Linked DNA regions of Oryctolagus cuniculus. The protein of the gene in region 1 interacts with the protein of each later gene in a pairwise test. Links are inferred from orthologs where the notes say so. Each region holds a gene or a part of one and is shown in the gene's direction. Other genes may lie near its edges. The genes, in order: AMOTL2, MYO5B, MFAP1, THRA, BRMS1L, SMARCE1 and NFIL3.

Evidence for each region.
Region 2: the proteins of AMOTL2 (region 1) and MYO5B interact in binary tests that used the Homo sapiens proteins (3 or more experiments, as listed by UniProt). The two-hybrid records come from large-scale screens. The link is inferred for Oryctolagus cuniculus from reciprocal best matches to the Homo sapiens genes AMOTL2 and MYO5B.
Region 3: the proteins of AMOTL2 (region 1) and MFAP1 interact in binary tests that used the Homo sapiens proteins (3 or more experiments, as listed by UniProt). The two-hybrid records come from large-scale screens. The link is inferred for Oryctolagus cuniculus from reciprocal best matches to the Homo sapiens genes AMOTL2 and MFAP1.
Region 4: the proteins of AMOTL2 (region 1) and THRA interact in binary tests that used the Homo sapiens proteins (3 or more experiments, as listed by UniProt). The two-hybrid records come from large-scale screens. The link is inferred for Oryctolagus cuniculus from reciprocal best matches to the Homo sapiens genes AMOTL2 and THRA.
Region 5: the proteins of AMOTL2 (region 1) and BRMS1L interact in binary tests that used the Homo sapiens proteins (3 or more experiments, as listed by UniProt). The two-hybrid records come from large-scale screens. The link is inferred for Oryctolagus cuniculus from reciprocal best matches to the Homo sapiens genes AMOTL2 and BRMS1L.
Region 6: the proteins of AMOTL2 (region 1) and SMARCE1 interact in binary tests that used the Homo sapiens proteins (3 or more experiments, as listed by UniProt). The two-hybrid records come from large-scale screens. The link is inferred for Oryctolagus cuniculus from reciprocal best matches to the Homo sapiens genes AMOTL2 and SMARCE1.
Region 7: the proteins of AMOTL2 (region 1) and NFIL3 interact in binary tests that used the Homo sapiens proteins (3 or more experiments, as listed by UniProt). The two-hybrid records come from large-scale screens. The link is inferred for Oryctolagus cuniculus from reciprocal best matches to the Homo sapiens genes AMOTL2 and NFIL3.

The regions. Positions count from the first base shown.
Region 1 is NC_091435.1:147,068,572-147,072,345, forward strand, and holds part of AMOTL2 (angiomotin-like protein 2), read left to right. Parts: intron 1-838; coding exon 839-983; intron 984-1,278; coding exon 1,279-1,371; intron 1,372-1,536; exon of another isoform or gene 1,537-2,013; intron 2,014-3,273; exon of another isoform or gene 3,274-3,361; coding exon 3,362-3,657; intron 3,658-3,774. UniProt on the Homo sapiens protein: Regulates the translocation of phosphorylated SRC to peripheral cell-matrix adhesion sites. Required for proper architecture of actin filaments.
Region 2 is NC_091441.1:28,195,568-28,199,341, forward strand, and holds part of MYO5B (unconventional myosin-Vb), read left to right. Parts: intron 1-997; coding exon 998-1,149; intron 1,150-2,642; coding exon 2,643-2,732; intron 2,733-3,774. UniProt on the Homo sapiens protein: May be involved in vesicular trafficking via its association with the CART complex. The CART complex is necessary for efficient transferrin receptor recycling but not for EGFR degradation.
Region 3 is NC_091443.1:66,690,072-66,692,675, reverse strand, and holds the end of MFAP1 (microfibrillar-associated protein 1), read left to right. Parts: intron 1-1,639; coding exon 1,640-1,729; intron 1,730-1,828; coding exon 1,829-2,011; downstream 2,012-2,604. UniProt on the Homo sapiens protein: Involved in pre-mRNA splicing as a component of the spliceosome.
Region 4 is NC_091448.1:22,355,925-22,359,698, reverse strand, and holds part of THRA (thyroid hormone receptor alpha), read left to right. Parts: intron 1-261; 5' UTR 262-565; coding exon 566-618; intron 619-3,197; coding exon 3,198-3,265; intron 3,266-3,730; coding exon 3,731-3,774.
Region 5 is NC_091443.1:39,765,268-39,769,766, reverse strand, and holds the start of BRMS1L (breast cancer metastasis-suppressor 1-like protein), read left to right. Parts: upstream 1-1,566; 5' UTR 1,567-1,992; coding exon 1,993-2,134; intron 2,135-4,499. UniProt on the Homo sapiens protein: Involved in the histone deacetylase (HDAC1)-dependent transcriptional repression activity. When overexpressed in lung cancer cell line that lacks p53/TP53 expression, inhibits cell growth.
Region 6 is NC_091448.1:21,885,917-21,890,140, forward strand, and holds the start of SMARCE1 (SWI/SNF-related matrix-associated actin-dependent regulator of chromatin subfamily E member 1), read left to right. Parts: upstream 1-1,375; 5' UTR 1,376-1,514; intron 1,515-3,210; 5' UTR 3,211-3,255; coding exon 3,256-3,262; intron 3,263-3,436; coding exon 3,437-3,480; intron 3,481-4,224. UniProt on the Homo sapiens protein: Involved in transcriptional activation and repression of select genes by chromatin remodeling (alteration of DNA-nucleosome topology).
Region 7 is NC_091432.1:139,817,413-139,821,913, reverse strand, and holds the start of NFIL3 (nuclear factor interleukin-3-regulated protein), read left to right. Parts: upstream 1-1,476; 5' UTR 1,477-1,615; intron 1,616-2,758; exon of another isoform or gene 2,759-3,178; intron 3,179-4,501.

The DNA.
Region 1 (3,774 bases):
CTCCCGGCTCCCCCAGCCCTCCTGCGCCCTTCACGGCTGACTCCAGACAGCTGCGGAGCAGCCCTGGGGCGGGAGCAGTTGCCTGGCCCGTGGTGCTGAGAAAGAGCCCATTCAGGGCCCCTGCACACGCGCACCCTGGGCCTGCACCCCCCCTCCCGCAGACACCTCCCACAGAGAGCCCTTTGTGTCCCCCACACAACAGCCTGTCTGTTCCAAGCCAGCCCTGGCCAAAGAGAAAAACCCCTCCTCGTGGAAAAAAAAAAAATTGAGCGACTTGTTAGGCAGCAGGCTGGCCAGGAGCACGTGCGGGAGCTGCCTGCGGCCAAGTGGGAGGGACAGCTTATGGGTTGGAGGGGGGCGGGGCTGGCTCTCTGCGCTCAGCCCCGTGCTGGGGTCCCTTCCTTGGTGAAAAGTGACCAGTGGTATGCAGATGGCCTCAGGCCTCGATGAGTGGCCTGTTAGTGGCAGATAGGTCAAAGCACCTGAACATGGCAGAAGTCTGTGCCCACTGCTGGCCCGCATGCTCGGCCTTCCCGACAGAAACCAGCAGGAGTAAAATGCTTCTTTCTGAATGGTGAGCATAGCAAAGTTTGTGTTTGGTCACTCTGGGTCCCGGAGTCCTGGCCCTGGGGTCACTCAGCATCTGGTCCTTAGGACAGCCGAGCTGAGGTGCCCAGCAGTCCCAGTGCACCGTGGAGGCCAGCAGCTTCTGACCTTCCCACGGTAGCCCCCTGGAGCTTTGGCTCCCGTCCCCTTCTGTGATGGAGAGCAGCGACTGGCCGGGGTCGCGCCCTTGGCGCTCTCACTTCCCTTCAGCTCTGCTGTCTACCTCTCGTAGCTGGAAAGCGAGATCCAGCGGCTGTCCGAGGCCCACGAGAGCCTGACCAGGGCCTCCTCCAAGCGGGAGGCCCTGGAGAAGACCATGCGGAACAAGATGGACAGCGAAATGAGGAGGCTGCAGGACTTCAACCGGGACCTCAGAGGTGACAGCCAGTTGGGGAGCACCTGTGGAGGGCTTGGTTCATGTTCCCTGGGGGGAAAAATATCAGTGCACCTCGACTCGGAGGAGCCCAGGTCTCGTAGACAGAGGCTTGTCTGTTCTGTACCTTGGGGTCCCTCATGGAGCTCCGACCGCGTGGCCCAGGTCGCTCATCGGGCCCTGAGTGGAACCAGGGGCATCCCAATGAGCTCAGCCCTAGCTTAGACGATGCAGACCCCAGGGAAAACACCGACAAGCAGCTCCCTGTGACTAAAACATCTCTCCTTCGTTGCAAACAGAGAGGCTGGAATCTGCAAACCGCCGTCTGGCGAGCAGGACCCAGGAGGCCCAGGCCGGCAGTCAGGACATGGTGGCCAAGCTGCTTGCTCAGAGTAAGTAAGGGTCCCGCAAAGAGGAAGCCGGGTCGACTTGCAGGCAGTGGCAGCACCGCTGCTGCTCGCGGCAGTGCTGGGGGTGCTGTTTACCAAATGGTACCCACCTGCAGGCCCGGGACTGCATGTGTAGGGGGTTGGGCTGGCTTTCGAGGAAGACAAAGATCAGGTTCTATATTTATTGGGAAGGTGAACAGAGCTGGGGGACAGTGTTTGTGAGAGCTGTGTTGGTCAGCAACAGAGGGGCACCGGGCAGAGGGAGGCGGACAGCCCTGCAGGAGGAAGCTGAGAGTTGGCCAGGGAATTTCAGGTAACAGTAAGTGTGCAGGGAAGGGAGGAGCCTGTGGACCACGAGGCGGCCAGGTGGGGGCACCTGAGACAGTCCAGGTGCTTCACCAACAGGTGCAGTCTGAAGAAGAGCTTCTAGAGGCTTCTCAGAAGGGGAAGTCCAGCACCCCCTGCAAGGCAGATGAGCTCAGTAACTAGTCCCTTCATTCATTCAGTCATTCCTCCATGTGTTCGCTTGCAGATCTGTGCCAAGCACCAGGCAAGTGTTTAGCAGAGGAGTGGGAGCAGCCCCAGGAAGTGGCTGGGAGGTTCAGGGGAGACTGGTGGGCTGTGGAGGGAGCAGGTTCCCAAGGCCTGAAGGGAACAAGAACGCTGATGGGCGGGTGCTGATGAGGGAGTCCCCAGTGGCCTGAGAGCAGCCCTGGTGATGGGCATGGTGAACTGGCCACAAGTGAGGAGGCATTGGGTGCAATGCGGATGGCCCAGCTCGTGGGAAGTTCCAGGGTTTGAGGACAGAGTGGGCTGGCAATGGCTGCTGTCCACCAGGAGAGCTGCTATGTGTGGCACAGACCACAGGGGTCATGTCCAGTGGATAAGCAGCCCGAGAATGGAGCTCTGGACAGGGCCCTCAGAGAGGGTTTCAAGCCCAAAGCAGGGAACGGGACAGGGGAACAGCGCTGAAGCCACTGGGCAGGACAGTGCTGGATGAGGGTGGGCTGGGGCGGCCATGGCTGTGGGGGACTCTGGCAGGGGGACCCCTGGGAGGTTGAGGGGGAGGGAAGGGGCCTAGGAGTCTGGAGAGGTCTGGCTGCTGGGGGAGCTGAGGACTTTGGGGGGCCTGGCCCTGCAGCAGAAAGGAAGTCCTGGGGCGGGTTTCTGGGCGGCTGCTTGGGGAGGGAGGGGGAGCCATCCAGCCGGCCTGGGAGGCGTTTCCGCTCCCTGGGGAGCGAGCCAGCCAGAGCCGGGCTGTTCTTGGCTCCTGGCTGGAGCCATTAATCTGGCAGCTGTGGGTGACCCGGATGCCTGGCATTCCAGAGCCGGCTGTTCCGCTCCCAGCCGCTCCCCCCGCTGCTGCGGCCTGGCGCCCTGCTCTATGCCGCTGCCCAGGCTTTGGGAGGGGACAGGGCGACACAAGGGAGGCTGGGACGCTGGGCAGGGGGGCCTGTGGGCCCTTCTCCCCCTCGCAGGAACCGCACCCCACTGCTAGGCCCTGGCTGCTCTGTCAGGGTCCCGCTGGCTGGGGATGACCAAGGCCCGAGCCTCCCAGCCCCCAGCAGAGCCTTAGAGGTTGTACAGGGCAGCCCTAAGCAGCCATTCCTTGCTGCAGGAGCCACCCCGGAGGGCTGCAGAATTCTCAGTGCAGATGTCTCTGGTCAGCCTCTTTTTTTTTTTTTTTTTTTTCAAAGATCCTGAGCAAGCCAAGAGCTGGCCTGGGTTGGCTCCTGCCCCAGTCCCCTGAGTCAATGCATCCTCTCTTCCACACGCCAGGGATCCAAGCCATCAGCCTCCCATCCCAGAACTCATCGTCCTAGGCAGGCCCTTGGCCACACGTGGCCCGAAAGCTCAAACTAAGGAGAACCAAGTCCAATCAAAGCTTCAGAGGGTTCCTCCTACCTCCTAGGGTTGCTGTGAGGATGAGAAGCAATTGTGCTCATCCAGTCGGGGAGGTCGCCATCACTGACCCGGCCACGTCTCCCTGCAGGCTACGAGCAGCAGCAGGAGCAGGAGAAGGTGGAGCGGGAGACAGCGCTGCTGCGCAGCGCCGTTGAGGACCAGCGGCGGCGCGCGGAGCTGCTGGAGCAGGCCCTGAGCAACGCGCAGGCGCGGGCGGCCCGCGCCGAGGAGGAGCTGCGCAAGAAGCAGGCATACGTGGAGAAGGTGGAGCGGCTGCAGCAGGCGCTCGGGCAGCTGCAGGCGGCCTGCGAGAAGCGCGAGCAGCTGGAGCTGCGGCTGCGCACGCGCCTGGAGCAGGAACTCAAGGTGTTGCGCGCACAGCAGGTGAGCGGACGCCTGCATGCAGGTAGCAGAGCAAGGGCGGGCATCCGAGGATGCCGGATGCCGGGGTGTGGTGTTCCGGGCCTGGTTCCTGAGGTTTCCGGGAAACCTTTGCTGCAT
Region 2 (3,774 bases), on another chromosome or scaffold:
GCCTCCCCCACAGGGAGGGGGCAGGGGGGCATGGGAAGTGAGGGGAAGTGCTCCTGACACCCAGTTTAGGTGGACGTGGGTGAGTGTAATGAGAGAGGGCCAGGCACTGGAGATACAGTGTGGGCTGCAGTGAGACCCAGGGGTACCGTCTTCACTCATCATCTTGTCTTTGCGCCAGGCCTCCCCCAGCCTCTGGGCTCCTGTCCCCATGGTTGCCCTAGGCCTGGCTCGCGAGTTTCCCAGCATGCTCTGGAAGTGAAAGCAGTGTGACAGCTTCTCCCTGGCCCTCCCGAGGCTTTAGCAGAGAGGGGACAGCGGACCGAGCTTGTGTCTGCGGGTCTTGCCAGAGCAGCCCTGGCCCAGGAGTAGGGGCGTGGGTTGCAGGGGACAGCAGCTGGGGGAGGGCGGGGGTGGCTGTGACCTGCTCCACCCGTCTGCCTGGGAGGATTCAGGGCCAGCGTCGCCAGGTAATCTGTCCCTAAAGTGACAGCCAAAGGTGGCCCCAGCCTTCCCTGTGCGTGGCCGACTGGCTTTCTCTTTGGGAACACAGGATTTGCCCAGTTCTCCTGGGGCCAGCCCCTACATTCTGCTGCAGGGAGCGGTGGTCCCCAGGAGTCGAGGGTTCTCGCCAGGTTGGGGAGCCCTGTCCTGTCTGCAGCCTGCCTCTGGCCTCCTGGGGGCTAGGGCCCCTGTGTCTGCGCGTAGCTCTGGGCTCTTCCTTCACAGTAAGAAGGAGGCGTCGGGGCCTGTTTCAGTGGTGCAGGGCGAGCCCTGAGCCACGTGGTTTCATCTTGGTTTTCTGCTGCAGCGTCCGAAAGCGCTGGCCGTTGGGGCCGGAGGGCGTTTGTGTAGCTGGCGGCTTCTCCCCAGCTTCCCTCCCAACCCTCTTGTTCCTAGACGAGCTGCCAGGAGTAGTTCTGGGAGGAGGGCTCCGAGCCCCGGGTGTCGCCCCCTCCCCTGTCTAACCCTGGCCGTTTGCTGCTGTCCTTGCTGGCAGACCTGAAGCCACAGACACTGCTGGGCACCGTGCCCTGCCTCCCCGCCTACATCCTCTACATGTGCATCCGGCACGCGGACTACACCAACGACGACCTCAAGGTGCACTCCCTGCTGACCTCCACCATCAACGGCATCAAGAAAGTCCTCAAGGTCAGTGCCCCTGCAGAAAGCTGGGCTCAGCGCGGCCATCCCCCCACTGCTGCTTCTCTGTGTCTGGGTTTCGGGGTGGCGAGTGAGGCACCTGGGAAGCCAGGAGGCTCGGACTCAATGAGGCAGGAAGCCAGAAATCCGGAGCAGCCCTCCAGGGCTGCCCAGTGCCTGCCATGCTTGGGCCTGCCCGCTGCTGCACAAGCTGGGGAGACGTCCTGCTACAGCCAAGGGCTGGGGGGGCCTGGTCCTGGTGAAGCCCCAGCTGGAGCCCAGCCCCCTTCACCTGTCCCCTGGGCAGTGCTGCTGGCGTTCCTCAGGGGCCGCAGTGAGGCAGCTGGGCCAGGACGGGGCTGCCCACAGGCTGTCGAGGCAGCTCGGAAACGCACGAGGCTCTTCACGGCCGGAGTGGCGGCCCCGGTGGGAGCAGAGTAGCTTGCAGGGAGGTGAGTCCTGTCCGCAAGGGGCCAGGGCCAAGTAGGGGAGAGGGAGAGGATGTTGTGTCTCCTAGCAGCCCAGGGCTCCACTGTCACTGCTGTTTTCTCTGTTTCTTTTAAAAAAAATATTTGAAAGGCAGTGTTAGAGATTTTCCATCCACTGGTTCACTCCCCCAAATGGCCTCAATGGCCAGGCCGAAGCCAGGAGCTTCACCCAGGTCTGCTTTCCCACAGACATCAGCAGGGAGCTGGGTTCCACAGGCAGTTGTATCCGCTCGTGGCTCCACATTCTGGAGACTCTCAGACCTGTGTCTCGGCCTTGACCTCTTTCAGGAACAGCAGGCGGGGTCTCGGTCAGTCTGGGCCTGGCTTGGACTGACTGCTGATGTCACCTCCCCAGGGCGGCCTTCCCTGATCCTGAGCCCAGTTAGCAGGCCCCAGCCCCACTGGGCCCTTTGTACTCAACTCCTGTCGCATCATCACAGCTCATCCGTGCTCTGCCCTTGAATCGGTGCCAATGCGTCTCTGCCCGACCGAGCACCCTGAAGTCGGGGGTTTCAGTCAAGAAACCGCTCTCGGGGTTGTTGATGGCTCCCCCCACCTTAGTTATGGTTTGTAGCCATTTTCTAGAGTGGAAGCCACTGGACAGCTGGCCTCTGGGTAAATGGGACCCCAAATTATTTCACTGGCACATGCCCTCCCGTCCCCTGAGTTGGAAAACAGGCAGTTCTGACCAGGGCAGGGAGCCCCAGTGGTTAGAGCAGGGTCCAGTCTCATCGCCGTCACTTCACTCTGCATGCTTCAGCCATGGGAAGCGGTCGGTCTGTTGCATGTGTGTTCCTGTGTGTGCACCCCCGGCTGGCGACCAGGAAAGGGGTTCCGGGTGCCACCCCTGCAATCTCTTGGCAGTGGGTCTCCTCTTGGGGACCAGCAGGGGCCCTGCCTGCATCAGGGCTTCCGTGGAGTGCTGGATGGGGTGCAGGATGTGGGAAGAGGCCCGAGTAGGCATTTCAGCAGACAGGACCACTCAGAGCTGGGGGTGTCCTCTTCTTCCCCCAGAAGCACAATGACGACTTTGAGATGACGACCTTCTGGTTATCCAACACCTGCCGCCTGCTCCACTGTTTGAAGCAGTACAGCGGGGACGAGGTGAGTGAGCGGCTGAGTTCCCGGGAGGCATCCTGGCTCCGTCCCGATGAGTTCCAAGGCACTGTGCGTCCTCAGGAAGGGGCACCTGCTGGGGCCTCAGGCGGTGGGCAGCACTAACCATGCCTGGAGACTGGAAGAGGGAATGAGGCAGGACGTAGGAGACCTGCTCGAGGGCCCCTGCTGAGGACGCCTGAACCAAGTCAGTGGTAAGAGAGGGGAGTGAGCTTGCTGAGCCCGTCCATCCTCAGAGGGCCCGGGTGACCTTGTCCTGCTGAAGCCACCTTAGGACAGCCGTTTCCGTAAATGCCTATTTCAAGATGGACAAAGATGGCCACAGGGGAAGAGCACCCAGTGGCCAGGACAGTTGTACAGACTGACCCAGAAGTCCGGCTTTATGCTCCCAACCACACCTGATGGCTGGGCCTGCGCGCCTCTTTTCACGCTCCATGCCATTTGACCTCCAGGCCCCAGGAGAGCTCCTCCGTGCTGTGTTCAGCCCGTGACCTGGTTACCCGTGCCACACTTTGAAGCGTCCCAGCTGCCTCCACACCGGCCCACTCCCACATCCCTGGGCGTCCCTCGGCCTTTCCGTTCTTCCCTTCCTTGCCCAAACCTTGCCGCCCACCCTTCGCAAGGCAGCGTCAGCCAAAGTCGTGCAATGGTTTTGAAAGCTTTTTTCCACCTCTTGTGCCAGGACAGATTCTGACAGGTTCTCCGCCCTGGGATGACACAGGGCTGTGCCACCCCGGCCGGTCCTACCTCTGGGACATGGCCGCGCTCCGTCTCTGCCGGGAGGTGGAAATTCTGTGGGCTCACTTGCTTTTACAATGGAAGGGGGGGGTGGGCTGCAGGGCACAGAACTGTCCTTGGTTTCAAACCAGAGGCCTCTGTGACGTCACATCGTACACAAGCTTTGCAAGTTCAGAACTGCACGTGCCACGTGGCACTGAGGCTCACCGCTCCACCTGCTGAGAGAGGTTCTGAATGGGGCGGAGGGGAAATACGTTAAGGCCAGAGCAGGACCAAGAGCTCCTTCTCTTAG
Region 3 (2,604 bases), on another chromosome or scaffold:
ATTATGTGATTTTCCAGCACAAATGGTTTTCCATAGTTAGTAGAGATTAGAATTACTTCTACTCTTTGAAAGTCATAAAGTGTCTTTCTTTATTTCATCATTTCAATAGCTTTTATAACCATGCTTCTTAGAGAACCAGTGTATTACTGACTAAAATACATAGGTAAAGTTTATATGAAGTCAGTCTTTTGGTACACGTACTCAAATATTAACTCTGGACCAGGAGAGTAAAATTGAAATGGCTTCTAGGATTAAATGAAGGACTTTCAAGTCCACAGTAGAAAAGATCTCACAAAAACTGTTAATAGTCCTGTCTTTAAAACTGGTCCTTCCTAAACCAAGATGATGCTGTTTTTATTACCTCTAGCATGTATGTGTGTAATCTCTGCCACAGCATTGTAATCTGACACATTGGTTCAAAACTATTCGCTATGTTTCATTAAGTATCCTTTTATGCACTACCAAAGAATATAAAATCCTCCCCTCAAAAGGCTCACAATCTAAAAGTAGGTCTAAGTCTACTGAAGGTACTCTGGCAGTTTCTAAAGAGGGAGATGTTGTATTTGGTTGATTGAAAACAATGACATGTATAAAGGTAACACTTCAGATGATTGACTTGACTTTTCAGTGTTAAGACATTCCAGCAGGAGGGGAGGCAGAAAAGTATCAGCTATAAAAGGAAGTGGCAAAAAGAACTAAACAGATTAAGGCTTATATTTGGCCTTACCTACTACAGAACCATTGATGTTTTTGAGCAAGGCAGATACATAATTAGAATTGTATTCTAGGCCGGCACCGTGACTCATTAGGCTAATCCTCCGCCTTGTGGCGCTGGCACACCGGGTTCTAGTCCCGGTCGGGGCACTGGATTCTGTCCCGGTTGCCCCTCTTCCACACCAGCTCTCTGCTGTGGCCAGGGAGTGCAGTGGAGGATGGCCCAGGTGCTTGGGCCCTGCACCCTATGGGAGACCAGGAGAAGTACCTGGCTCCTGCCATTGGATCAGCGCGGTTCGCCGGCCACAGCGGCCATTAGAGGGTGAACCACCGGTAAAGGAAGACCTTTCTTTCTGTCTCTCTCTCTCACTGTCCACTCTGCCTGTCAAAAAAAAAAAAAAAAAAAAAAAAGAATTGTATTCTAGAAACATTAATGGTAGGGAAAAAAACTACGTGATAAGAGTTTATGAGATGTGGCAACTGATTGAATATACACAAGATTACTCCAGTTTTGAAACTATGTTAACTAAGAGAATGTTGGGCCTACTTACAAAGAAGTTAAATCAACGGTGGGCATTGTGGCATGGTAAGTTAACCCATGCCTGGGGCTCTTACATCCCTTATCAGATTCCAGTCCCAGCCAGCTATTCTGTGCTTCCTATCCAGCTAAATCCACCTATGCAGTTAGATATGAGTTAAGACCCAATGGAATATCTGTTAAAATAATATAAAAGGCAGTAGAAAATTCAGAGTTGAGAGGCTTGTTCATAGTTGAAGGCATGTGCGTAAATGAGCACACAGATTATAGTAACTCGTGTAAGCCCTTGAAGAATGACTCAATAATCTCTGTAACCTTTGTTATATTAACTCTGGCTTGAATAAAAGGGAATAGAACTAAAATAACTGATTATATTCATTTCTGCAGGACGAGGATGAAGAAGTATACAAGAGAGATTTCAGTGCACCTACCCTGGAGGATCATTTCAACAAAACCATTCTTCCTAAAGTCATGCAGGTATGGGGAACCTTAGTAACATAAGAGAAAGATCATATATTGAGGACAGAGGTGTAGTATGTTTGGTGTTACGTGTAACTCATCATTCATCCTTCTCAGGTCAAGAACTTTGGACGCTCTGGCCGTACCAAATACACCCACCTTGTGGATCAAGATACCACCTCCTTTGATTCAGCATGGGGTCAAGAAAGTGCCCAGAACACCAAGTTCTTCAAACAGAAGGCAGCTGGGGTACGGGATGTATTTGAGCGACCGTCTGCCAAGAAACGGAAAACTACTTAGGGTTCAACTACATAATTCTTCCACCTATGGGACACAACAAGTCTTAGCATCTGGTCTTCAGTTTGCTTTTCCCATTATTTATATGGCCCGCATATCCAGGCTATTGGACCTTCTACCATACTTGTGATAACAGGTAGTCCTGTCTTTGAAGGTGCTTTTTGAGGTCTGGACTCATGCTGAGAATCCCACAGAAAAGCACTATGTGGGTACTGGAGCCTTCCCATTTGAAACTATTTCTGAGAAATCTCGGGTTTCATCACTGCTGTGGTTTCCCATATTTACTTGGGACTGTTGTTCTGAGATTCTTTTTCCAGACCCTTAGCTTGGGTCAGAAACATGAGCATGTGAGTGGAGTGGACAATGCCTTTCTTCTACCTTAGTGTTGGGAGTAACATAGCAGGAAATCTAAGCTCATTGAAATGTTTTCCATTTTTAATTGGAGTCAGTTTTTTCTAAGTGAATGTAATTCTTGATCCATTGATGTGTGTCAAATAAAAAGTCACACACCGATTTTTATCATGATGCAAACACAGAATACACAGGCTTATATTAACTACCTAATAAGTAAAAGCAGGGAATTCAACAGAGGATGT
Region 4 (3,774 bases), on another chromosome or scaffold:
CTGAGTCGTGCTGCCTGGTACCTGGATGGCTTTGTCTTTCCCTTCATCCTTCCCCTGTGTGGGGCTGAGGATGTGGGTATCCAGTCTTGCCTGCTGTGCCTGTACTAGAGGAGTAACCCTGTTCCTTGTCCCACACCTACCCTCCATGTCCACTGTCGCTTTATTATAGTCCCCCGGAGCCCCAGATGTGGCCACCAAAGGGATTCTCCCCACCCTTCTACCATGGCACCTCCTTACCTGGCCTCTCTCCTCTCTCTGCAGGGATCCGCGGACAGGACGAGACTCTGAAGTTACTCTCCCAGCACCTACCCCCAGGACCACCCCCCCAAGGACCCAGCTTGCCCTCAACCCTCCCACCTGCCACTCCCTGGCCCCTCCCACCGCCCGCCCCCCTTGGGGTGCAGGGCATGGTGTGAAAGGCCAAGTGCTGAGCGGGTACCATGGGTGCTGTGCCCTAGGGCCTGGGTGGCGGGGGGTGGGCGGCCTGTGGGCGTGTTGGGGGGGCCAGCGTGCCCACCCCAGTCTCTTGGCGTGCTGGAGGGCATCCTGGATGGAATTGAAGTGAATGGAACAGAAGCCAAGCAAGGTGGAGTGTGGGTCAGACCCAGAGGAGAACAGGTAACGAATCTGGCGACGAGTTTGCACCAGCTCTTACGCGTCGATCTTGGGCGAAAGAGCTCTGTGTTGAGTGGCTCTGGGGGATGGGGCACAAAGACAGCAGGCCTGCTATCCACCTTCGTCCTAGAGCCCAGGGAACGCTCAGAGGTGGCAGGGAACCAGGCACTCGAATTGAGAGATACCCATCTTGCAGGGGCCGGTGGTAGAGACCTGAGTAATTACAGGCAGAGGAGGGCACACGGCACTTCCCTGGGTGGTGCTGGGCAGCCTGAGGTGCCCCCAGAGGCCCCTCTGTCATTGCCACCCTCACCTGAGCACGTGGGATCCAAACGGCCTTGCTGTGTCCCTCCTCTCCTCTCTGGCAGCCCGGGCCCCACCTGGTCACTTACAAGTGCCTTGTCCACAGGCTGTGGTGCTCGTAACATGACATTTCAGGCCCATGCACCGGTAACTATTGGTCACAGCCTATGCTGAGATTTGGAATCTGTTGGGAGCCCCACAAGCTCTTCCTTGTTCATGGTCAAAGGCGGACACTGCCGTGGAGCTCCTCCCAGGAAGTGGAAATGCATGCCAGCTGTGAAGGTTTTGCTTACACATGGGTGAGGCATGGCGCTGTATGCACACTAGGGACAGGTTACCTGTGATCTGCGCTGCCCTTGAGAAACCCAGAGGGTCTCTGCCTCTGCCATTGGATCCAAGTGGCACAGAGCTCTGTCCCAGTTGGCATGGAACCCCGGGAGCTGGGTACAGGCTGTGCCTATGGCCAGGGAGAGAGTGGGGGTGGGGTGCTCTGGGGAGCAGTGTGGCTGGCTGTTGCCTAGGAGATCAGATCCCGAGCCAGGAGGCTGGAGGCCTGGCCAGGCAAAGCCCTGGGGCCCAACACTGGGTCCCTGGAGGGCTGGAGGAAGTGGATGGGGCTCGAAATGGGGTAGGCACCAGGGTAACCACCCCCAAAGCCTCACCCCAACCGGGACTCTGAGGATCCGGCCTGTTGCTACGTGGCTGTCACTTGCATCCGCTGTAGCTCCCCGTCCAGGCTAATGTGGATCTGGAGAGTCTGCCCCTAAACCTTGGACAAAGGCGAGAGTGCCTTTTCTCAGTCCCTTAGGACTGCAGCCCCTCCCCCAGTATCCTCCCCTCCCCCATGTCCCTGCGCCACCTTGTGGTTGTTCCTGGGACTGCACCCAGAGGCTGGGAGTCTTGTAAACTGCTGAAGGCGCGGGCTGCACTGGGGCCTAGGAGGCCTCAGGTGCCCTGCACCCACCCCTCAGAGGAGGCGGGAGGGAGACCTGACCCTCCAGCCTTGTCGGAACCAGACAGGGTAATCCCCAGGGGGTGTGGAGCACGGGGCTGTCTGTGACTGTGACCCTGGCCAAGGTCACTATGTCAGTGTGTTGGGAACTGCGTCTGGCTCCAGGAGGAGGGGCCCTGCACTTGCCACATGCAGGATGGGAGAGGGAGGTTATACAACCCTCGCATGCACGGAGAGGGCTTATGTAAGCCGTGTGTGATGAGGTTATGTAACATGTATGGAGAGCCTGGTGACATGTATGTGCAGGGACTGAAGGTGGCTGAGAATCCCTGGCATGAAGAGGCTCAGGGTCCTTGCCCTGCCTGTGTCTCCTGTGTGCTGTGTCACCAGGCACAAGTGGGGCTTTGGTTCAGGCCTGTGTTAAATGGAGGCCGTACACAGGGTGACTGTCGTTGTCATTTGCCACTGTGGGTTACTAAGCATGCAATCCTGACCTGGATGTCCACACTGCAGAGAGAGAGAGCGGTGTTAGCAGGTGCCTGTCCAGAGAGTTGTGTAACATGTGGGCATATCCTAGAGGTCATATAACACATCTGAGAATGCCCTGGAAGTGGCATAGATGGTGGTGTATCGTACTTGGGTTTATTCTGAAGGCTGCAAAGCTATTAATATGAACGCTGGTGTCATATTGCATACATGTGCATGTGCATGTGTATGTGTGTGTTCTGAAGGTTAAGCTTATCCTGTGGATTATTTTGGCACAGTTGTCATCCACGGAAGGCTTGGATCTGTGGTGGTCCTGTTCTGTGGATTGTGGGTGCTTCATATCTACAGTGTGGTTGTAGATGTGGATGTGTGTGCCCGTACTGTGTTCATGTGTGTGCTGTATATTCATGTGTGTGTGCCTGTGTGGGTATGTGTGTGTGTTGTATGTGTGTGGGTATGTGTGTGTTGTATGTGTGGGGGTATGTGTGTGTTGTGTGTGGGGGGGTATGTGTGTGTTGTGGGGGGGTATGTGTGTGTTGTGTGTGTGGGTATGTGTGTGTTGTATGTGTGTGGGTATGTGTGTGTGTGTGTTGTATCCGTGTGGATGTGTACCTTGGGGCCCTGGAACATGCTTGTGCCCAGCCAAGGCCCTTATCTCTCTCCCCTGCAGCTTTCAGATAGCTAAAGGCTTCTAAGCCTTGTCAGCTGACCTGGGGGTGGGAGGTGGAATGAGGACACAAGGTGGAGGGAGTCGGGCCTGGGGGACTCTAGGAACCTCACGGGTGAGGAGGGGGCTGCCCAAAGACCGCTCCGTGATTCTGTCCACTTTGCCCCCATCTAGTGCCAGGTCACCAGATGGAAAGCGAAAAAGAAAGAACGGCCAATGTTCCCTGAAAACCAGCATGTCAGGTGAGCCTGGCTGTGTGTGCCCCCTCTTCCTGCCCCAACCCCCGCCAGGTCTCCCTCTGACCCATGACAGGTGCCTATGGAGGGCTGGAGGTGGGTTTGTCTGGAGTGAGAGGGGTGATGAGGGCATGACCCGGGCTTTGAGGATGGATTAAGTCAGGAAGTGCCTCTTCCCTTCTTTCCCAAGCTGCTTTCCCGAGCTGCCGCCATCCATTTTCCACGTCCATCTTCCCCCACCCATTAGCTGTGAGCGAGCAGTCAGCACTGAGCTGCTGTGTCTTCTCAGGGGGTGGACACGATGTCCAGTGACCTGTCCCCAGGATTCCACCTGGAGACAGCGAGCCCTGCAGGGAGGCAGGGCTGTGCCACAGGCCAGAAAGGGAAGGCTGGGGCAGGAGAAAGTCTCGGAGCCTCGCCGAGCTGCCGGGACCCCGAGCCATGCCTGCCCGCTCCTTTCCTCCCTCCCAGGGTATATCCCTAGCTACCTGGACAAAGACGAGCAGTGTGTCGTG
Region 5 (4,499 bases), on another chromosome or scaffold:
CAGCTCTCTGCTGTGGACTGGGAAAGCAGTGGAAGATGGCCCAAGTTCTTGGGCCCCTGCAGCCATGTGGGAGACCTGGAAGAAGCTCCTGGATCCTGGTTTCAGATCAGCCCAGCTCCGGCCTTTGTGGCCTTTTGGGGAGTGAACCAGCAGATGGAAGACTCTCTCTTTGTCTCTGCCTCTCTAACTCTGCCTTTCAACTAATAAATAAATCTTTTTTAAAAAGTGACTTTAAGAAAAAAAGAGGAGGAGGAAGAGGGTTGCAGAGGGATTAGAATGTGCAAAATGAGAAACAGCTGGTGTGTTTGGAAATGTAAGGAATTCAGTTTGGGAGCTATCATGAAAAGGGGAGAAGAAAGCCCATGCTTCATCAAGTCCCTTGATCTGGATTTACTTTGGAGCAGGTAGATTGCTCTTGAAATGTTTCCTGTCACTAAATTACAAATCGAATGCAGTTACATCTGGATACTCTTACCATCCTCTATCAAATGTTGGGATCTGGCTTTTGAGAAATAGATGCTGGGGCAGGCATTTGACCTAGTGGCTAAGATGCTGTATTGCATGCCTACATTCCATGCTGGAGTGCCTGGGTTCTGGTCCCAGCTCTGCTTCCACTCGGCTTTCTGCTAATGTTCATCCTGGGAGGCAGCAGGTAACTCCTCAAGAAGTTGGGTCCCTGCTATCTACACAGGACAGCTGGATTGAGTTCGTGGCACATCGCTTCAGCTTAGCCTAGCCCCAGCTGTTGTGGGCATTTGTAGAGTGAACCACAGAATGGCAGTCACACACCCGCCTCCCTTTCTCTCTCTCCGTCCCCTTCTCAAATAAAATAAAATTTAAAAAAGAAGAAATGCTGCATGAAATATATTTCCATAGCAAATTGTCGTGTCAACAAGAAGTCCCTTCTTTATAATGGGTAAAATATAGTTTTAAGTTTTGTCTGCAAATGAAATTTCCCTCCCTGCAAAATGAAGATAATAATGGCACCTGCTTAGGACTCTTGAACTGATATCTAAATTCAAGGTAGCCCATGCAACAGGCTTACCAAGACATTTGATGCAGAATAAAAATGGTCAATTAATTTGAGTTGTGATTGTGGAACTGAGTCTTCCTTGTCTGTGTACCCTATCCTTGAGAATATATAACATCTCATTGGGTCACATACGTAGTTTTCGTTGAAAAGTGAAGTTAAATCAATACCAGTGGCATCTTCCAACGGCATTTGGTAAAAAATAAATGGAAAAATACTAGATTGAGAATGCCAAGCCAAAATTTCTTTCTGTATTATCAATTGCAAAAGTTTCAAGAACAATTTTAAAGATGTTTGTGCAACACAGAAAGTGCAAGTTACCTTGCATAGTTAACTATTCAATGTAACGCTTTCTTAGTCGTAATAAAGACTCCTAGAAGAGGCGGTTCTCTGTTCTGCAGCTCAAAGAGCAGGCAAAGAGCCCTACAGGCAAAAAACTCTTTCATATCTGCCAGCAACGTCTTGGATAGCCAGGGTGGTCAGACACTCACTTGGCGGGAAAAGCACACATACAGACCAAATTCGCACAATCTGTTTCGGGTTAGTTTATAAATTGCGATCAAGGGTGCCAGCGTTCGTGCCTTGTGGGATTTGAAGTCCAGAAAGAAGAAGGGATCCGGGCTGTCGAAGCTTGGAAGTCGGCAGCCCCTGCAGGTCTCCGCTCTGAGGACTACAACTCCCGACACGCACCGCAAGGCCGCGCTGTAATTACCAGCAACCAATCGTGCCCCAGCAGGGCAAACCCCGCCCCCGCCTTGGAGCTCGGCCTCCGCCAATGGCAGAGCTCCCAGGGCTGAGCCTGCGGGTTAGGTTGTGAGGCCCGGGCCGGGGGCGGGGAGGAGCCGAGGGGGTTCAGAGCAAGCTCGGCCGCTGGGTGGGTCCGGGCGTTCGGCGCGCCCTTCACTGAAGCGGCGGTGGCCGGGCTGGGCGCCGCGAGTGGGAAGCGACGGCGCGGCTGGAAAATGCCGGTGCATTCCCGGGGGGATAAGAAGGAGACGAACCATCACGATGAGATGGAGGTGGACTACGCCGAGAACGAGGGGAGCAGCTCCGAGGACGAGGACACCGAGAGCTCGTCGGTCTCGGAGGATGGCGATAGCTCAGGTGCGCGACCCAGCAAGGCTGGGACCCTGAGTCCCCGGCCGGGCGCGCGACAGGCCGCGCTCCGCACGCCGGGCAGCCGCGTCCTGCTGGGAGAGCGGGGCGGGGAGAGAGGGAAGGGGCGGAGACTGGCTCCCGGCCCAGGGCTGCACCCAGACCGACCGGTCGCCCAGCGCTGCCTGCTCCAGGGAGGGTCCCGGCCAGCGGGGCGGGGCGGGCCTGGGCTTGCCCAGCCCCGGAGCTCGGCCCCCGAGCAGCCCCGGTGGGAGCCGCCCTAGACACCTCCCGGCGGTGCCCTGGGGTCTCGCCCGGGTGGGAGGCAGCCCACCGACCTCTCTCCTTACCCTTACCTTTGCAACTCCTACTTCTCAACGTGGGTGGATTGTGGGGGTCCAGGGTGGACCCCAGGTGCTCCTGGCCGGCTTGGAACGGGTTAACCCCCTGTCAGTCTGCGCTTCCCACCAAGTGCCCTTGCAGGGGGCTAACTCGGGAGCTGTCCCGTTTGCAGAATGCCCCTGAAGTTTTCAAGGCTGAGAAGAAGGGAACACCATCGGGGTGGTTTGGATCTTCATCTGTTTATGAATTGGCTGGTTTGGGGGGCAGCATTGAAATGCTCCCAATCTTTTCTTCCCTCCCCCTTTTCCCGACTTTGGGCTGTTTCACTTTTGGGGGTAACGGTGGGGGAGGTGGTGATGGCAGGGCTTGAGGGTGGGAAGAGAGGGGAGGAGAGGGCAGATTAACCCCATCAATAAATTCTGCAAACTTTCGGGAATGGCTACTCAAAAAAGAGAGGGAATCTGTGACTACCTGGACTCTTTTCCTTCTGTCCCCGTTACGGGGATGAGACTGGTTTCTTTGTCTTGGCCTGATTTGGACCGCATAAAGGAAGCGCTGATGACAGCTTGACAGTCCATCATCGCCCTAACGCCCCCTTTCACGTGTCCCTTTCAAAGCAAATCTCCATGGAAGGGTGTCATTTCGATTAATAAATCACCCAATCCCAAAATAAATATTTATGAGTGACTTCTTTGTGTAGCACCGGGCACAGCTCAGTCTGAGGTCTAACTAGTTCTGATCTCTCTCAATCAAAGAGCTGTCTTAAGTTACCGCTTGATTAAGTTGCTAAGTGAGTGCTTAGCTAAACTGCTGTAGGAATCGAGACGAAGAGGAAATCTTTTCAGAATTGATGGCCAGCAAAGGCAGGTTGAAGCAGATGGGGTTATCCTGAAGAATGAGTAGGATTTGTACTGCTGTGGTAACGTTCAGGTGCTCCTGGAGGGCAAGGAATGTAAGAAAAAGTGCAAAGGCCAGAGCTTACGCTTACTCAAGAGTGAGGAAACCATTTGGTATGGGAGAAGGCTGAGCTAAGAAACTCAAAAGAAAGGACAAAACAGGATTGATGAGTGCACGTTTAGGAGTGAAGCGAAGAGAAAACCCAAGATACCAAGAGAATGGTGATAGCATCAGTGGACAGAGAGAAGTAAAAATGTGAGATGAAGATCAAAGAGAAGGTATTTCCGTTGTGTTGCTTTTAAGTAGGAGTGTGTATTCAACCAAGAATGCCCAGCTGGCAGATGGGAATGTGGCCTTGGAATCTGCCTGGGGTGGGAGGAATAATTGGAAGATCATGTGCCTGGCCATTGATGTAGGTGAGATTTCAAAGTGGGGAACAGAGAGAAAGAAGGATCAGGACTGTATGTAAATATATTTCCTAGATCTGTAAAGCATCAGCTTCAAGTATTCTTAGCTTTTTTAACGAGAGCTGAGATGTCAAATAATTACCTCTCTATTTTTTATTACTTTATTTTTTTAAAGATTTATTTATTTATTTGAAAGTCAGAGTTACACAGAGAGAGAAGGAAAGCAGAGAAAGAGAGAGAGAGGTCTTCGATCCGCTGGTTCACTCCCCAGTTGGCCACAAAGGCTGGAGTTGGGCCCATTCGAAGCCAGGAGCCGGGAGTTTCTTCCGGGTCTCCCACGCGGGTGCAGGGGCCCAAAGACTTGGGCCATCTTTCACTGCTTTCCCAGGCCACAGCAGAGAGCTGGATCAGAAGTGGAGCAGCTGGGACTCAAACTAGCACCCATATGGAATGCCAGCACTGCCCGTGGTGGCTTAACTCGCTACGCCACAGCGCCAGCCCCTCTCTCTCTCTATTTTTAAAGATTTATTTTACTTGAGAGGCAGAGTTACAGACAGAGAGAGGGAGAGGCAGAGAGAAAGGTCTTCCATCTGCTGGTTTACTCCTCAAATGGCTGCAAGGGCCAGAGCTGCGCCCATCTGAAGCAAGGAGCCAGGAGCTTCTTCTCCCATGCTAGTTTAGGGCCCAAGTCCTTGGACCATCTTCCAGTGCTTTCCCAGGCACACTAG
Region 6 (4,224 bases), on another chromosome or scaffold:
GCTCCACTCAGAGCCCCTCCATCTGTGTGCCATCCCACCCCCACCCCTTGGCAGGGTGCATGGTCCCTGGGTCCCCGGCAGCCAACACTGCAGCTTTAATTCAGAGGCCCCGCCCAGAACCCCAAAGGCAGAGGTCAAACCAGAACAGGTCCTGGGACCCCCGCCCAGGCCGTCCCCCGTGTCTTCCTCCCATCCTTTAATGCTTTCATATTGGAAAAGCAATTCCACAGCCGCCCCTCAAGCCCCTCTCCCTTCAGGCGCTCCCCCATTAGGCTCCTGAATTGCACTCTCTCCTATTCGCAGGGGAAGCCCCGGTATCAGCTGTCCCCAGCTCTGCAGGGACGCCCCCATAGGCCCCTGTTCCTGCTGGCTCGTCCCAGAGGGGCGCTAAGGGCGGCTAAGAATAAGGCCCACCCCGTGCCCAAGTGAGTACCATTCGGGGGGTGTCCATTTGTTCATTCTCCCACCAGGGGCCTACGACAGTACCCAAGGGTGTTCACAGCCCAGGAAGGGGCCACTCACTCCAGACGGTGAGCAAAGAGCCCCAACGACTTGGGGGGTAAGGGCCCTGGCTGGAGCAGGCCAGAGGGCTGCCGCGGTGCCCATGTCACGGGCATCGAGCTGGGCTCCAGACCCTCAGCGGTGACCGGCACTGCAAAGCTGACACACCTTCCTAAGGGCCAGATGGAAAGGCCTGGGGGTACAAGGGAAGGATTGTTGGGGGGGGGGGGGGGGGCACTGCAAGAGGGCCTCCCGAGGGCACGGCTGAGCTGCATCCCAAACGGCACAGGAGTCTACGCAGCCGGCGAAGGCGGATCTGGGGCAGAGCCCAGCAGCAGGCACCCTCGGCGCTGCAAGGCCACACCAGGGCCCTCGCTCGGAAACCTGTGGCCAGCCAAAGCCCGTGCTGCTTCCCTCCAGGCCGAGTCCTCCGCGCCCGCGTCGTCCGCTCTGAGAAGCACGGGGAACACTCGTCCTGCCGCCCAGCGACGCGAGGGGAAGCGGGAGACCCGGCGCCGGGGGTCCCGCGGGGGCGGCCGCGGCCGGAGCCCGAGGCGCGCGCGGCCTCCCCCTGCAGCGGCTCCTGCGTCTCCCGGCCTCACGCGCGGAAGCCGAGGCCGCGGGCCTCGCCACCACGCCCTCGGGCAGGGCTCGGCACCTCCCGCCGCCGCCGCCGCTCGGACCCCTCACCGCCGCGGGAACCGGGCCTATCGCGATCGGGCCACCTCCGCCTTCCTCGCCGTGACGAATCGGCGCCCGACTGGGAAAGCATCCAAATCCAAGGAGCTTTGTGGAACGTACGGGGCCTGGAAAAAAATCCTTGGCTGTACTAAGCGTCGCCGCGTCCTCGGGAGCGGGTTTATTTTTTTTCCGAAGACAGTCGGTGGGGCCTGAGAAGAAATTGAGAAAAAGTGTGGAAAGTGCGAGCGCGGAAGCTCCGGACGTGAGGGGCGGGGCGTGCGCGGGACAAAGGGAAGCGAAGCCGGAGCTGCGGGCGCTTTTTCTGCCCGCGGGTGAGTGTTTCCTAGTGGGTCCGACCTGGTCTGGAGGGTGGCAGGTCGCGGTGCCTCCGTTCGGCGGGACCCCGGGTCCCCGGGGGTTGCTGGGGGTCAGGCTTGGCTGCGGGGCCGGAGCCGAGAGCCGGTGAGGCCTCCTTGAGGCCTAGCGGAGCGCGCGTGGGGAGGGAGTCCTCACGGGGGGCCCTCCTCAGGGGCAGGATGGCCCCTTCCGGCCACCCCGAACCCGGTCAGGGCGCCCACGCATACCCCGGTTTGGGGGAATTACTGGTAAAGTGCATCCCCCGCGGCAGGCGTGGAGGAAGCGACCTCCGAGGCAGCCCTGAGGGGCGAGGCGAGCCCAGGGCCCTCAGCCCCGGAAGGGACCCCCGGCCCGGGGCCCTGGCCCCGAGGACCCGCGGGGCCGGCTTGGCGTGAGCGGACTTGGCCTGGGTGCGGACCCCAGCTCCTGCCGCTTCCTAGCGGCGTGGTTTCGAAGAGTTACTTTGAAGTCTGCAAGACTCCCCTTTCTGATCTGTAAAATGGGACAGCAGGGTTGCTCTCCTAAGCCTGTCCTGCCTTATTCCACAAATGCTTGCCGAGCGTCTGTGTAGGGCCAGGCCGCAGGGAGGGCGTCAGGGGGTGCACAGGGGCCCTGGCCCGCTCTGAGAGCCTGCGTTCCGCCGGGGGCGAGCAGTGTCTGTGAGTGTATCTTAGCGTGAAGCGCCCAGTGCAGGGAGCTGCTGGCTGTCCCGTCAGGGCTCCACACCGCAAGGCCTCCTGGATGCTGACAGCTCGCCGGCTGAGCAGCAAGGAAATTTGCAACAAAGTCAGAGGTTCCCGCCGGGCTTTAAAGGCAGAGGGGGAAAGCACCCTGGGCTCCGACCTGCACCCTGGTGCTGCAGGTAGCTCCTGCTTATCTCCCGTGAGGCTGGATGAAGGCGCTCCAGGATAGGAGTTTGTCTTCTTTCCAAAACACGGATTTTTTTTTTAAACCCCTCGGGACTGTTGATGTGAAGGACAAGCTCTGGCCCTACTGTGAGCAGGGAACCCTAGGACAACGTCTATCAGGAATCGCACTAGAGACTGGGATACGGTGACGAGAGCAGCACCCAGTCCAGCCATATTGGCAGATGTTTTGAAAAGCTACAGTAAGCAGTATCCTAGCTCTGCATGGGAGTGCAGATGAGGGAACAGTGAATTCAATGTATTTCCAGCGAGTCCGAAGCTATCTGCCGCTTTAAAAGAATGTGAAACGCATTTAGTATACCTGTTACCTTTTCCGCTGCCTTCGGGAATACAGAGCTGCCCTGTTCGAACAGAGGTTGCTAGACCAGAAGCCAGGTGGAACTGACCGGGCGCTGGCAGCATCCAGCAGGCCTTGTTGGTGTGGACAGGTGGCACAGCACAGTGTGTGACCACTGCCTTCCCAATTACCAAGTGTTCACCGTGCGAGAGGTGGGGCAGCTTAGGACAGAACCTGAGAGTATATTTCTGATACTTAAATATCCCAGGAACTTACTCGAGTCATTTAATTCTGATGACCCAGATGACCTACAAGGACTAGTAAAATACGCGCAAGGCTTGAGTACTGAGAGATAATGTAGTTTTACTCAAAAGTACCAATCAAACTGCCCTCTTTAGGGAAACATTCTCATGCTTGCTGAGTTTTGATTCTCTTTTTTTTTCCTTTTTTTCCTTTTTTTTATTTTAGTGTCTCAGATTCATTCTTAAGGAACTGAGAACTTAATCTTCCAAAATGTCAAGTAAGTTTCAATTTTTATATTTATCAATCTATGTTAATAAGAGACTAATGCCCTAGCAAGTGGGAATTCCAAAATACTCTCATTTTTTTCTTCAAAACAGGACCATTGGTAGTTTTGTTGCATAGTATTATATCTCAGTTGTTTACAAGAAGTTATTTATTTTCTTTCAAACAGAAAGACCATCTTATGCCCCACCTCCCACCCCAGCTCCTGCAACAGTAAGTTTTAATTTTCTTGTTAATGTAATAGCCGAGTCTGGCCTTGATACAAAAACCCAGATGTCTTCCAGTGACAGTCACTCAATCATCACAGTAACAGGATGAAAATTCAGCTAAAAAACAGACTTCCTTCTAAATAAAATAACTCTTTGCCTCTGATCTTGAACCAGCCCCAACATTTAAAGAAACATACTATGAAATTCCTACCTCCTATGCTGAATTTACTTGTTTTATTTTTTTTTTTTCTTAATGGGAAATAGTTAACAAGTTTAACACTTCTTTCTCAGAGTCTTTAAGTTGATATTGAGTGAGTGCTCATTCTGGCTTTTTTTTTTTTAAACCTAACCTTCAGCTGGTTACATTTTTCTCTCCTTTCTTGTCTCTATATATAAAATTTCCATATTAAATCAAACAAAGCTCCTACTTCTATAACTACACTCATTGTAAATCTTTATTTTCAAGCTGTTCAAGTGAGGATTTCATTATCTGTGGGTCAGATTTTGCTATGAAATTTGACTCCACGCTGTAATTAGATTTGATTGGCTTGGGAATTGAGAATGTTTCAAAGTATCTGCCTGATAGCGGTGAACCGGCTTCTTCACCCAGCAAGCTCTGACCCAGCTTGGTCAGCATGTAAAATAGTTGCCCAACCCATGAAACAGATTCCACAGCAACTGTTAGGCCTCCCTGAAATGGCTTCCTTGTGGAGTTTTTTAGGGGGGAGGGGGTTGTCTGTGTTTTAAA
Region 7 (4,501 bases), on another chromosome or scaffold:
CCACAGGCATTGGAAACGTCACGCCAGGTGCCCACGAGGTGTGCGGTGTTAGCGCGCCGGACGGCCCGGGCTTTCGGCCGCCGGTCTGCACGCCCCTCTGTGTCTCCAAACGCAGGGGAAGAAAACGGAGCCGCGGGACGCTCAGCCCAGCCTGCACGCAGCCCGAGCGACAGGGGCGGGCCGCCCCACCCGCCACATGCCCTGTTTGGACGAGCGTGCGCGCCATAGCCAGGAACATGGCTCCCTCGGCCCAGGCCGGCACGCCCCTCCACCCGAGACCCCGACACGCGCACGGGGCTGTGCTTGCTGCGCACCTCCCCAACCTCACACGCAATGATTTCACAACTCGCGGCTGGGAGCGCTCCCCCGCATTTATTTACGTCTCCCCAGGGAAACCCCAGAATTTGAGGGAGAAGGCGACCGCATCCGACTAGGGGCAGAAATGACACCAAAGGGCTACCGGCCCCTGATCGCCAGAAGCGACCCTGCGCGGTCGGCTCAAGCTCCAGCGCCCAACGCCAATGGGCGTCCCAGTGCGGCCAGTTCCCCCCGGAGAAAGCCGCGGCCGCCTCTCCGCGTGGCCCGGGGACTGAGGGGGGCCCCCACGACCCTCGTCCCCCAGTTGCGTGACGCAACAACTTCACAGCAGACCTCATCGTGCAAGGGGAGGTGTTGGCGCGTGCAGCGTAGCCTGCGTGCCCGGGGCCGTCTCCAGGACGCGCGGGGTATTTGAGTCTCTGCTTCTCCCGGAGCAGCTCTGCCCCGCCGCCGCCCCAACCCCTTCCCCGCCGCGGCACCCCCGAGGGCCCGCAGCTTCCCGGCCGCCACCCGCCGCCTTTCCGGCCTCCCGCCAGCTCCACCGCGCAAGGGTCGCTCCTCTCCGCAGTGTTGCGGGAAGGCAAGGCCGAGGTCGCTGCCACGCCTCGCCCGGTGCTCGGTCGGCAACAGGTAGCCCGGCCGGCGCCGCCGCCGCCGCCGCTGGGGGAGACAAAAAGCGCATCTGCGAGCAACGAGGGTCGCGGGGAGCCCGGAGCCACCACGGCAAGGCCAGGCCCGGGGGTCCCGGGCTCCTCCTCCCCAGGCTCCTCCGCGCCGCGCTGGCTGCGCCGGCCGTTGCGCAACCCGGAGCGGGGCGCAGGGCGCAGGGCGCGGGTCCTGGCGGACGCCGGCTCGGGCGGCGGCGGTGTCCGAGGCCGGGGAGGGACGCGCACTGGTGGCGGCGCCGCGGCGGAGTGCAGAGGGGGCGGGGCCGCGGAGAGCCCGCCCCCCCGGCCCGCCCCTGCCGGCCGCGGCCATTGGCGGCGGGCCGGGGGCGGGTGCGGGCGCGGCGATTGGGGCTGCGGCCGCCCGTCACGGCGGGGCTGGCGGGCGGCGACGTAGCGCGGCGCTCGGAACTGACCTACTAACACACATCTCTCGGCGCGGCCACGGCGCCCGCGGACCCGGCGCGCCCGCCCGCCTCCCGCGCCGCGCCCTCTCCGCCGCCGCCCGCCGCCCGCCGCGGCCCCGGAGGCCCGGCCCGGAGCCGCGAGCCCCGGCGCCGCCAGCCCGGCTCCCGATCTCCCCTTTCTTTCTCCTCGCCGCCCCGGTGCGCCGGCCCGGGAGCAGGAACACGGTAAGCGCTCCGCCCACCGCCGGCCGGGGGGCCCCGCGCCCGCTCCCCGCCCGCTCCCGGGGCGCGCGGCCGGGCTGGCGCGGGGCGTGGGGGTGCGGGCCGAAGGGTGCGCGGGGCTCGCCGGCGGCGGCGAGCGTGCGCGGGCCGCTCGTTACATAAACTTTTGCTGCCTCGGTCGGGATGGGACTCCCGCCCGAAGGTGGCTGCTTTGATTGCAGCGCGCTGGCGCCGCCGGCACGTAGTCCTGCCTGGGGTGCGCTCTCTGCCGCGGTTGCATAACGTCTCCCGATTTCGGGAAAATTGCTGTTTTGGTGGGGAAGCGGCGCCGGGGTGGTTGCGCCCCCCCCCCCCCCGCCCTGCGAGCGGGAAGGTGCGCCCTGGTCTCCGGCGCCTGGCCCCTCCGCGGGGCCGGGGGCGGAGAGGACAGGGCTGAGGAACGGGGAGCAGTCTGGCTCTGCGTGTTGGGGACGCGCGCTGGGAGCGCGAGCGGTGACGGCATCCGGAGAATGCCTGTGTCAGGCGCTGTGTGTGCCCAGACGTCTCCCAGCCCGTGTGTCGTCAGCGTGTTTTACAAGCCCTCGGGAAGGTTGTGGGATTTGTCCTCGCGTGCGTTGCGTAATCTGCCCACGGCGCAGCGCCGGCAGGGTGGTGGGGAGCTGCGCGCGTGTGCGTGTGCCGCGGTGTGGTCGCGGTCGCGCGGCGCTGAGCCCCGGGGCGCTGTTTACATCCACGCGAGGTGTCCCCCACGGCCCTGCGGAACGTCGGAGGCAGCTGGGGCTTGGATTCGGGGCTCGGGGTCCCCCCCCCCCGAGAGATTCCGAGCCGTTGTTTTGAAATCTGGGGCGAATGCATTGTGACGTCTGCCTCCCCCTACCCACCCCCCTGATCCAAAGAAATGCGCTGCCTCTTAGTAGCCCCCGTTCGCCCGGGGTCGCCGCGGCTGTTTCCGACGCGACAAGACAGCGCACATAATAGTTTCCTGGAAATGTTGCATTATGTAACTGCCGGATTTGCTGGCATCGAGCGTAGAAAGAGGGAGCTAATTACGCGATTTTATAATCTCGCTACAAAGAAACTAGGGCAATCTCAGCCTGGAAAAATGTCACTGTAACAGTTCTTTTTTTTTTTTTTTTTTCCCTCAAGGATATTTTCAACAGGAAAGTCGACAGCCCTATAAGCGCCGAGTCTGCGCAGCAGGCGGCCGAATGCGTGTCTTTTTTGCCCTAAATGAAATGTGCGTTCTTCTAAATTTAGCGCCATCGCGTTTGAACAATTGCGGCCTCGCGGAGCTATTCCTGGTGTTTTCTCCGGGGCTGCGTGCACATCCAAGTTCAAGGCCGCCTGCTGTAGTTTCACGGCGCACGCCCTCGGAGACCTTTGATAAGGCTGTATTTTTAGGAAGGCATTTCGCTGCGCCTCCCTCTAGCTGGAGGACACTTGGGGAGCCGCCGGCCCCCGGCCCCGGCGTTCGTAAATACCACCAGCTAAGGAGGTCAGAAGTGTGTGTTTCCCGTCGTGTGCTCGCCCCCCCGGCCGGATGTGATTTATGGGGAACAGATATAGGTTAGTGGATTGTGTTTCTGTCCGGATACCCTAGTTTCACTTGGGCGCTGAGCACGCAGAGCGCCCTGGAGTCCCCACCTAGTGCCATTGCGAGTGCCTCTATGCATGTGCCAGTGTGTCCATGAGCAGGTTTACACACACGCACACCCACTGAACATTTAAATAATTAAAGCGCGTGGTTATTTGTAAGGGGTAGTGGGGCCTTATTATAGCGATTCGCAGCCGGAACACGTTACGTTGTCCCAATCACAACTGCGGTGGCTCTCGGAGAAGCTGGCGGCTCGCTTTAGTCCTCTCGCCCACCCCCCACGCCCACCTCCCCACGCCCACCCCCCAGCCTCCAGCCCGGGTGAGAGCCCTGGCCTCTAGGGGCCGCGTGGCGCCACCTTCCGACCGCGTCCTCGCGTGGCGCGTCCCGGCGCCCCTCCCTCCGCCCCGCGGGGGTCTTCGGGCAGCCGAGGCTACCGACGCCGGCCCCGCGGGGCTCCCCTGGTGCGGGTGAGCGGGCGGGGACGGCGGCTCGAGACCGGGAAGCGTCTCTGGGCGGCGGCCGAACGGGGACCGCTCGGTGGCCGGCGCGCCTCCCCGCCCCCTCCCCACATTCCTTTGTTCTGGCGCGGGGGGTCCTCACGGCGCCGAGGCCCCGCTGCGCCGCCCACCCGGCGGGAGGCGGGTCTCGGGGAGGCGCGGCGTGCCGGTGTGCTCGCGGGTAGCCCAGGCCGCGGGCGCGGGGGCGCGGAGGGGCCGCCCGGGCGTCTCGGCGACGCGCTTCCCGGGGGGCAGACGCGCAGGCCTGATGCACGCGTGTGGCACGGCGAGGTTCCGAGACCCGCGCACACCTTTGTTCCCCAAGGTCCTCGGTGCGTTTCAGGGCCAGCACGTCCCCATTCCTGGAGCCGAGAGGACCCTAGGGAACACGCAGAGACCGCAGAGGGTGGGGGGTGGGGTGCTCCGGGATTTGTGGGGCTGGAAGGGCAGCCTCGGTTTGGCAGTGGCCACTGGAGCTGAATGGGGGGGGGGGGGGAGGTGGACATGGTGGTTCCTTTTTTTTTTTTTTAAACCTTCTGTTTCTATGGGCAAAGGATAGTTCAGAATAAAACCAAATCGGAACACCCATGGAGACGCTCCTGTAACAACTGCAGTGGAGTACTTTGGTGCCAGGGGTAACAGCGCATGGCTGGCAAGTGGCTCTCCGTGGAGGACCGGCTGAGGCTGGGCCCACACCCTTGGGACCTTGGCCGAGACCCTCTCCCAGAGACCTCAGGAAGGTTGGGGGAAATGCACTTAAAAGATAAGTTTGTTGAACTTTAAAATCCACGCGTA